Linked DNA regions of Notamacropus eugenii. The protein of the gene in region 2 interacts with the protein of the main gene of each other region in a pairwise test. Links are inferred from orthologs where the notes say so. Each region holds a gene or a part of one and is shown on either strand. Other genes may lie near its edges.

Region 1 (3,748 bases), on a different chromosome or scaffold from region 2:
TGAAGCTTGCCTCTTATGGTGGCTGAAAACACTCCAATCCTAGAACATAAAAACTTATATTTGAACATTAACTACTCAAGGTCAAAAAACATGAAAAGTGCAAAAGCAGCATTTCCCAGTCACCAAATAATTAAAGTCCAATGAGAAATGCCCTCTGCTAAGTGGCAGACCTGTCTTTAAAGGGCTTGTGTTCCAACAGCCTATTTCCTAACTCACTTTCACAAAGCTATTTATTTCTCTGTTGGACAATAAGTCCTTTGATTCATGACAAAAAATATTTCATCAGTGTCACTAGATGAGAATATGTTCAAAGAAAAGTTAAGAAGGATCTAAGAGAGAACAGAAATCTAAGCGAGGCAAGAGTGGGTACTGAGAGCACTGAATGGGCATGGAGAGTACAAAAGAGGCTATTTCTTGAGTCAGGAAAACCTGAGTTTAAGACCTGACTGATACATACTGGCCAAGTCATTTATCCTAGGCAAACTCTTTTAAGACTCAAAACTTTGAAGCAGTTGTCAATGTGTAAGGATGGAGGAAGTGCTATCAACCTAACTTAGCAATATCAACTTTTGTTGCACCAAATCTAATCAAACCTAGTAACTTTCAAGTTGATACCATGACATGTTTTTGTCCTTCCTTCTCAGAAAAGACCAAGACATCAGAAAGGTGATGTTATGACTTGCAAGTGAATTGGATTTAAGTGAGGGAGGATAGTGCAAAGTTTCTGGGTTTCTGGCCAAAACAGGAACAATTGCTATTTACCCTAGCTCTGGGCCATCAGGACCCAAACAATGACCAAGTGAGGCTTGGGTTGGGACCTACTGTTGGTCAATCAAAGAAAGTCAGAGTGATGTAGGTTTAAGGCATGGTCTTTAAGAAAGAAATATAGCCTGTAAACCCCAAGATATCTTTTGACGTTTCAGTGACCAAATTTACATTTCTTTGGGCAGAGCACACAAAGGTAAGGGTATGATATCCTATGTGGACAGAGGGAGAGGAGGGAAGGAGAAAAGGAGGGAGGAGGGTAAGGAAAGAGGGGAAAAAAGGAAGGAGGGAAGGAAGGATTTCACTCACTACATCACTACTCACAGTCCTGCCCCAATCCCTCTAACTACTGAATAATTCATTCACACCCTCTTCATTCAAGGAAAACACAAGGGCTAGGCTTATCTACTAGCACAAGACACAAGATTTATAAGCTGGACTCTGGATCTTTGCTATCAGCTTGCTTTTTTGAAACACCAGACTAAGCTTCTTCCCCTAAAATAAAAGTCTAAGCCTCAAGACAGAGTTGCACCTTGATGGTGAATATTTTGTCATTTATACAAGTACTCAGTGAAATACTCTGCCTTGGGTTACTTCTGTTGAGTTCCCTGGGGGTAAAGTTACCGCAGAAATGTTAAAACCCAAAGGTCAGCAATGTTAAACTCAATTTGTATAGAACAGAGGGGAATCAAAACCAGGTGGAAGAAGACAGCATAAGTTTAGGAAAAGGTATCATTCATCCATTCACTCAAGAAAAGCACAGAGATTTGGAGTCCGAGAAGTATCGCCATCAGTCACTTCCTGTGTAACCTTAGTTTATCTATAAAACGAGTGGATTGATTTAAATGACCTGAGATTCCTTCCAGCTCTAAATGCTGCGCTTCTCCAGTAATCTACTACACGAACACAACCAGGCTCTGGGGACAGTAGCAAGCAACTGGAATTTCTTCCTGGTAGGAAAATTCTCCCCCCAATCCATATTGCTGCGAATCTTTAGCGAGAGAAATCTTAGATCTAAGTAGTGAGGCTCAGACAAGGTACAAGGCTACTAAGCGCCAGAGACAAGATCTGGAAAGCTTTCTTTCAATCCAGTCCAGTACTCCCCACGTTCAGACAAGCAGCCTGTCCCCGGAGGACAGAAGATCAGAACTCCGGAAGACACATGCACACACTTTCCCCTCAGCTTGAAAAGAAAAAGTACGAAATCCATCCCTCCGAAATCTTCCACCTACTTTCGGATAGGCAACACACGCAAAGAAACCAGGTCAGGTGAAAGACCCCAATTCATCACCACCCTTTTAAGGTGATCTTCCTGGGCATGTGTAATCTTTGGCCTAATATACTTGACCTTGGCTTTGGGGGGAAAGAGCGGAAATCGGCTCATTCACCAGAAGCCAATCTGGTTCTCTGCTAGTAAGACATGCAGCCGGGCGCCCGAACTTGTGTTTCCAGTCCCACCTGGTGCCAGATGTGCAAAGAAGCCCCAGGTCCTTTCTCTCCTCACCTCTCCATAGCTTCTAAATCATCGAAGGTCCCCCAGAGGGCCACCTTTTTTATTGGGGGGGGAGATTTTTTTGTATCTAATCTGTATATCTTTGGTGAACAAATGCACGAAATGAAATATACAAGATTACAACCGAAACCAGCTCTGGCGAGATACAGTATCTAAACAGGAAAACAATAAATCCACCAAGTTCAGCCGCCACGTGAGGAACCGCAGCCCCGGAGTCACACCCGGGCTGCAAGGAGAGCTCCCCAGCATCCCGGGGAGGCTGGGGTCCAGGGCTTTGAACTCGCCCAAGGTCGGGGGGCGCGGGCGCAGCAGGTCCGGCCACGCTGATCTGGGGGAGGGGGGACCCTTCCGCTTTGCAGGACACAGAGAGGGCGGGAAATCTCCGTGGGGGGGGTGTCTGAGACCCTCTCCCACGGGCTACCCGTTAGTTGCTAGTCTCCACGGCAACACCCCCCCACACTTAGAACCCCGGGACCCTCGGAGACCCCCCAAAGACAAGAGCGCGCGTAAGCCACGTGACGCGGCGCCCCAGCGCAGCCTTGAGCGGGGCGAGGAAGCCGCGGCGGGCACAGCCCGGAGAGCCCCGACGCCGGCCCCAGTCCCCTTACCTCGGCGGGCACTAACCGGTGAGTTGCAGCAGAAGCCCCGAGCGCGACCGCCTTCAGCCCGCGGTCAGAGATGTCCCTCCGCTGAGCCCCGCCCCCTTTCCAGCCCCGCCAGATACTATAAGCGGGAATGGCTGGGGAGAGGGGAGGAGGGGGGCGGAGCCTACTCTGTCCGAGAGTGGGCACGAGGAAGCAAGCTTTGCTCCGCCCCTTCCCGCTCTGCCGGACGCTATAGGCGGGAATGGAGGTGGTGGGCGGAGCCACTCAGCCCGGGAGAGGGTACGAGCTCCGCTGCTCTGCTCCCGCCCCCAGCCCCGCCTCTTCTCGGCTCCGTTCGACGCTCGGGGCAGGAATGGCAGGGGTGGGCGGACCCCTCGGGTCCTAGGAGAGGGTACCAGGGTGCAGATTTGCAGAGAAAGGGAGGTGACCGGGCCCTAATCTGGCGCCTCTCCGTCTGGCCAGGCTAATAGGGGAGAAACAGATGCTGCTGTCAGGTGCTCCTAGACTGGAGCCCTCCCCATTTCAAGCAAGATTTTTAAAAAATTAGTTCTCATGGCATTTTCATGCCCCGGTGGGCCAAGTTCAACCAACTTGCCAACTCTAAAACTGAATTAACCTATTATTTCTCAACTGAGCACTCTCAGTTCTCACAGCTACCACCCGAATCCAAGTCCTCATTTCTTATCTGGATTTAGGCACAGCGTCAGCAAGCAGTTATTAAGCATATGTGTGTTTGTATATATAGATAGATGTGTGTGTAGATGTGTGTATATGTATATACATACATACATATGTAATTGCATATATGCGTGTGCAAATAAAGACACACATACATATAGTTCAAAACTACCATCCCCTTACCTGC
Region 2 (3,748 bases):
ACATAGGAAGGAGAAAAATGAGGATCTGAAAATAAAATAAAATTTAATTAGAATTTTTTTTTACAAGAGGATGAGATTGAAGCCTCAGGTGTCTGAGAGAACAGTGGTTCCTTCAACAGAGATAGGGAAAATAGGGACTCAGAAGGGTGGGGGTGAGCAAGGTGGGAAGGAGGGAATTAGGATTTGAAACTAAAATAAAATTTAATTAGATTTTTCTTAAAGAAGCCTAGGAAATGATTTTAATGTGGAAGGCTTGGGTGACTGGGAGAAAAGAGAGACCATCAGTTGTTGTGTTCGTCCTTCGTTTTTTGAAGAGGACCATGACATCAATAGGGAAACACAGGTGGCATGGGGGTAGGAGGGAAGATAATATGATGACTTCTGTTTTGGACATGTTGACTTTGAGGTGCTTGAAGGGCATATGATTTATATCCGGTTGGCAGCTGGTGGTACCAGACTAGAGCTGAATACACAGGTGAGTACGTGCACTGTATAAATTATGTATACGTATATTGTATATAATACATGCGTATTCGGTTCGAATCTTTCCTGAACTCCACCAGCTGCCCATAGGCTATCATCTCTGCGCAGAGATCATTGCTGAATCTATGGAAGCTGATGAGTTCACCAAGAAAACAGGTAGGGAAAGAAAAGCAGAGAGAAAACAGTCTTGTCCACAGCAGGCGAATCATCGATGCGGGTCGAATGAATGAGCTAACCGGCAGGTAAGCCCACTGGGTTCAGGTGTCTACCTGTTCCCACACCGGCTAGGTGACGTGGGCCTGGCTTGCCCTCTCTGTCCATCAAAGGTGACGGGATCAATGTTCCCTTCTGAGGAGGGTTTAGAACACCTGCCAGCAGAGGTCCACGGCCCCCCCTCCAGTCCAGCCCAGGCCAGCCACACCTCCGGCCAGAGGCGGCCCTCCCGGCAGCCCCGGCTCCAGGGCCCCGCCCTCTCTCAGGATTGGCTGCGCCGGGCCTCGCTTTGCGCTCAGCGATTGGCCGCGGTGCCCGTCGGTCCGCCGAGCTGGGCCCCCGGCTGCTGAAGACGGAGCCATGAGCGGAAGGGCCTGAGCTCGGCTCCCAGCTTCGGCTTCGCACCCACTGCGGCGGCGGCGGCGGCGGCCCGGGAGCTGGGGCTGAGCCCTGAGCGCCGCCCGCCCGCCGGCCCAGACAGCCGCGGGGAGGGCAGGTGAGGCGGCAGGGAGGCGGGGAGTGGTCGGGCCGGGGCGCGAGCCCCGGACGGGGAGCCGGGGGCCGGGACCCGGGACCCAAGGCGGGTGGGGAGTGAGGCGCCGGGTCCTCCTGGGAGGAAGGGGAGGGGGCGGAGGGAGGGCGCGAGCCTTCGGCTGGGCCCGGGGGGCTGCGGCAGCCGGGGCAGGGCCGGGCGGGCTGCGGGCCCCGGGAGGCCGGCTGCTCCTGGCACCGCGCCCCGCTCCTCCTCCCTGCCCGGAGAGTGCCGCATTCTGTCTGTCGGAGGCGCCGGAGGGACCCGCGCCCGTGCCAGCGCCGGAGCCGGGCCAAGGCTGGGTCCGGGGCGCAGCATCGCGAGGCGGGACCCCAGCGCCGCCTCTCCCGCCCCGCCTGCCTGCGTGACCTTGGGCCGGCCCCTGCCGCCTCCTCTTTGGCACTCGGTAAAACGAGGGGTTTGGCCTCAACGATCCCAAGACCCCGCTAGCCCCAGATCTTCGCATCCCATCCCCCTTGGGGCTGCGGGACACCCAGGTACGCCTGTGTGCAGCCCTGGTGCCTCCCTTCCCAGCTGTCATTCTTGGGCTTCCTCTTTCCCCCTCCCCCCATCTAGAGCCTCCCTGGGGACCACTGCCTCCCACTCCACAGTCCTGTGCTTGATCTTGAAGTGCTCGTGCTTTTCATCCCTCCCTCACACTCATTCGGTGAAAAGGTAAAATGAGGAAAACATACCTGTCACCTAGACTGAAGCCTCCTCTCTTCCCCCGATTCTTCAGTTATCATTGAAGAATTGCATAGCATAGCAGACTCAGCCGTAAGTGACCCTATTTCACATTAGTCCTAGTGTGTAAAGTGTTTGACTTCCAACAACCCTGGGAAGTAGGTAGAGCTCGAGTTATTCCCATTTTACAGAGTAGGGAACTGTGACTCAGAGGTCTTAAATGATATGCCTGAAGTCACACAGTTTAGCAAGACGCAGAATGGAAATCAAACCCTGGTCAGACCCTCTTGGCATATCTCCTAGGAGCCTTACCATCCACCAGTTTCTCAGACTCTCTGTGCTGAACAGTATTTGTAGAGAACTGGAATGAGGGACTGAGGCCTTAGGCAAAGTTGTATTATTGCTCCTGTGGACCCCTCATCAGCATTAGTACATTTTAAGCATCTTGAATTAGATATTTTCCCAGTTTCTTCCTAGGGAACCTGGTAGGCTAAGTGAGTGAGTGAGGCAGAAATGTCTTCCAGGAAGAACCTTGTCTGCTCATCTCAAGCAGAAATTTAGGGTTGTTTAACAGCAGAAATGATTTGGCTCTTAATTGAAATATCTTATTTCAGACTAACTTTTATGTGGATTTAAGTAAATGACCTCTTAAAATTTTTCCCCCCTGTTCTGCCTGATTTGTTGCTACTTTTTAGATCCTGATACATTTCCTTTTGTTGGTAAATTTCCAGAACCAATAGTGAGATGAATGTTAACACTGACAATCTTTTAGCCAGTAATTTGCTACAATTCAAGAAAACATTTAACCCTGATTCAGTTAAGGTTCTTTATTTTTACAATGTAATTTTTTTTCCTTTCAGAGGTCTTCCTTATAAGTTAAAAATCCCATTTTAGTGGTCTTCCCTGGGGAAATTTTGATTTTCTTGAACATGTCATTTTATTCTCAAACTGTTACCAATTTAAATAAACAAGATCAAATTATCAGACCATTTAAATATTAGGTAAATTCATATTTGTCTCAATAGTAATTCAAGTCACATTTATTCCATTTCATAGCATTTGAAATTCATTGACCCAGATGTCACATACAGAACATTTATCAGTCTCTATCAAAGTTTCCAGAGCTAAGCACAATTCAGGCTTTAATTTCAACTTCTTTTTTCTTTATAATATTTACTGGTCTAACAGTGGTGAGGCCTATTTTCCCAAGCATATGAGAAATAGGATATCTTTTTTTTACATACTTGCCTTAGTAACTGAATTGTAACAATGAATAGATACATGTTCTTATATGCTATTAACTGTACTAAGAATCTAAATAATTGTCTAAAATCTTGTGAAATTTTGCCAAGTTAGAGTAGGGAAGGGGAAGGAATTCATGCAGATTTTCTATTGGCATTTGAGTTTGAAAAGTCACATCCCCTTGAGAATAATTCACCTATTTCCTTAACACTTGAAGAAATTAAATATTGAATATTAAAGTAGCATTTGATGTACATTTAACCTTATTTTAAATATTCCCTTATTAATCCAGGTACTTCCTCATATTATTTTTATAATTTCTTATATCAACATATTTTGTTAGGATGACTTCCTTAAAACTCTATCTGCCCCCATAGTTCCCTATAAAAAGTTAAGCAATGCTACCTAATATAGTGGTTTCAATTGACAATACATGTCATTTTCTATTTTTGTGGTTTATTGTTTAACAAAAATTAAGAATACATGCTTTAATTTTAATAATTTGAAATCAACATTGTCTATTGTATTTAGCTTTAGTTTTGCTGCCTTTTCGTGTTACCTTTAATACACAATGACTTTGGATCATAAATTTAG

What was found.
Region 1: the proteins of MAPK9 (region 2) and SHMT1 interact in binary tests that used the Homo sapiens proteins (3 or more experiments, as listed by UniProt). The two-hybrid records come from large-scale screens. The link is inferred for Notamacropus eugenii from reciprocal best matches to the Homo sapiens genes MAPK9 and SHMT1.

The regions. Positions count from the first base shown.
Region 1 is NC_092874.1:335,899,057-335,902,804, forward strand, and holds the start of SHMT1 (serine hydroxymethyltransferase, cytosolic), read right to left. Parts: upstream 3,011-3,748; 5' UTR 2,887-3,010; intron 1-2,886. UniProt on the Homo sapiens protein: Interconversion of serine and glycine.
Region 2 is NC_092872.1:415,961,133-415,964,880, forward strand, and holds the start of MAPK9 (mitogen-activated protein kinase 9), read left to right. Parts: upstream 1-1,020; 5' UTR 1,021-1,192; intron 1,193-3,748. UniProt on the Homo sapiens protein: Serine/threonine-protein kinase involved in various processes such as cell proliferation, differentiation, migration, transformation and programmed cell death.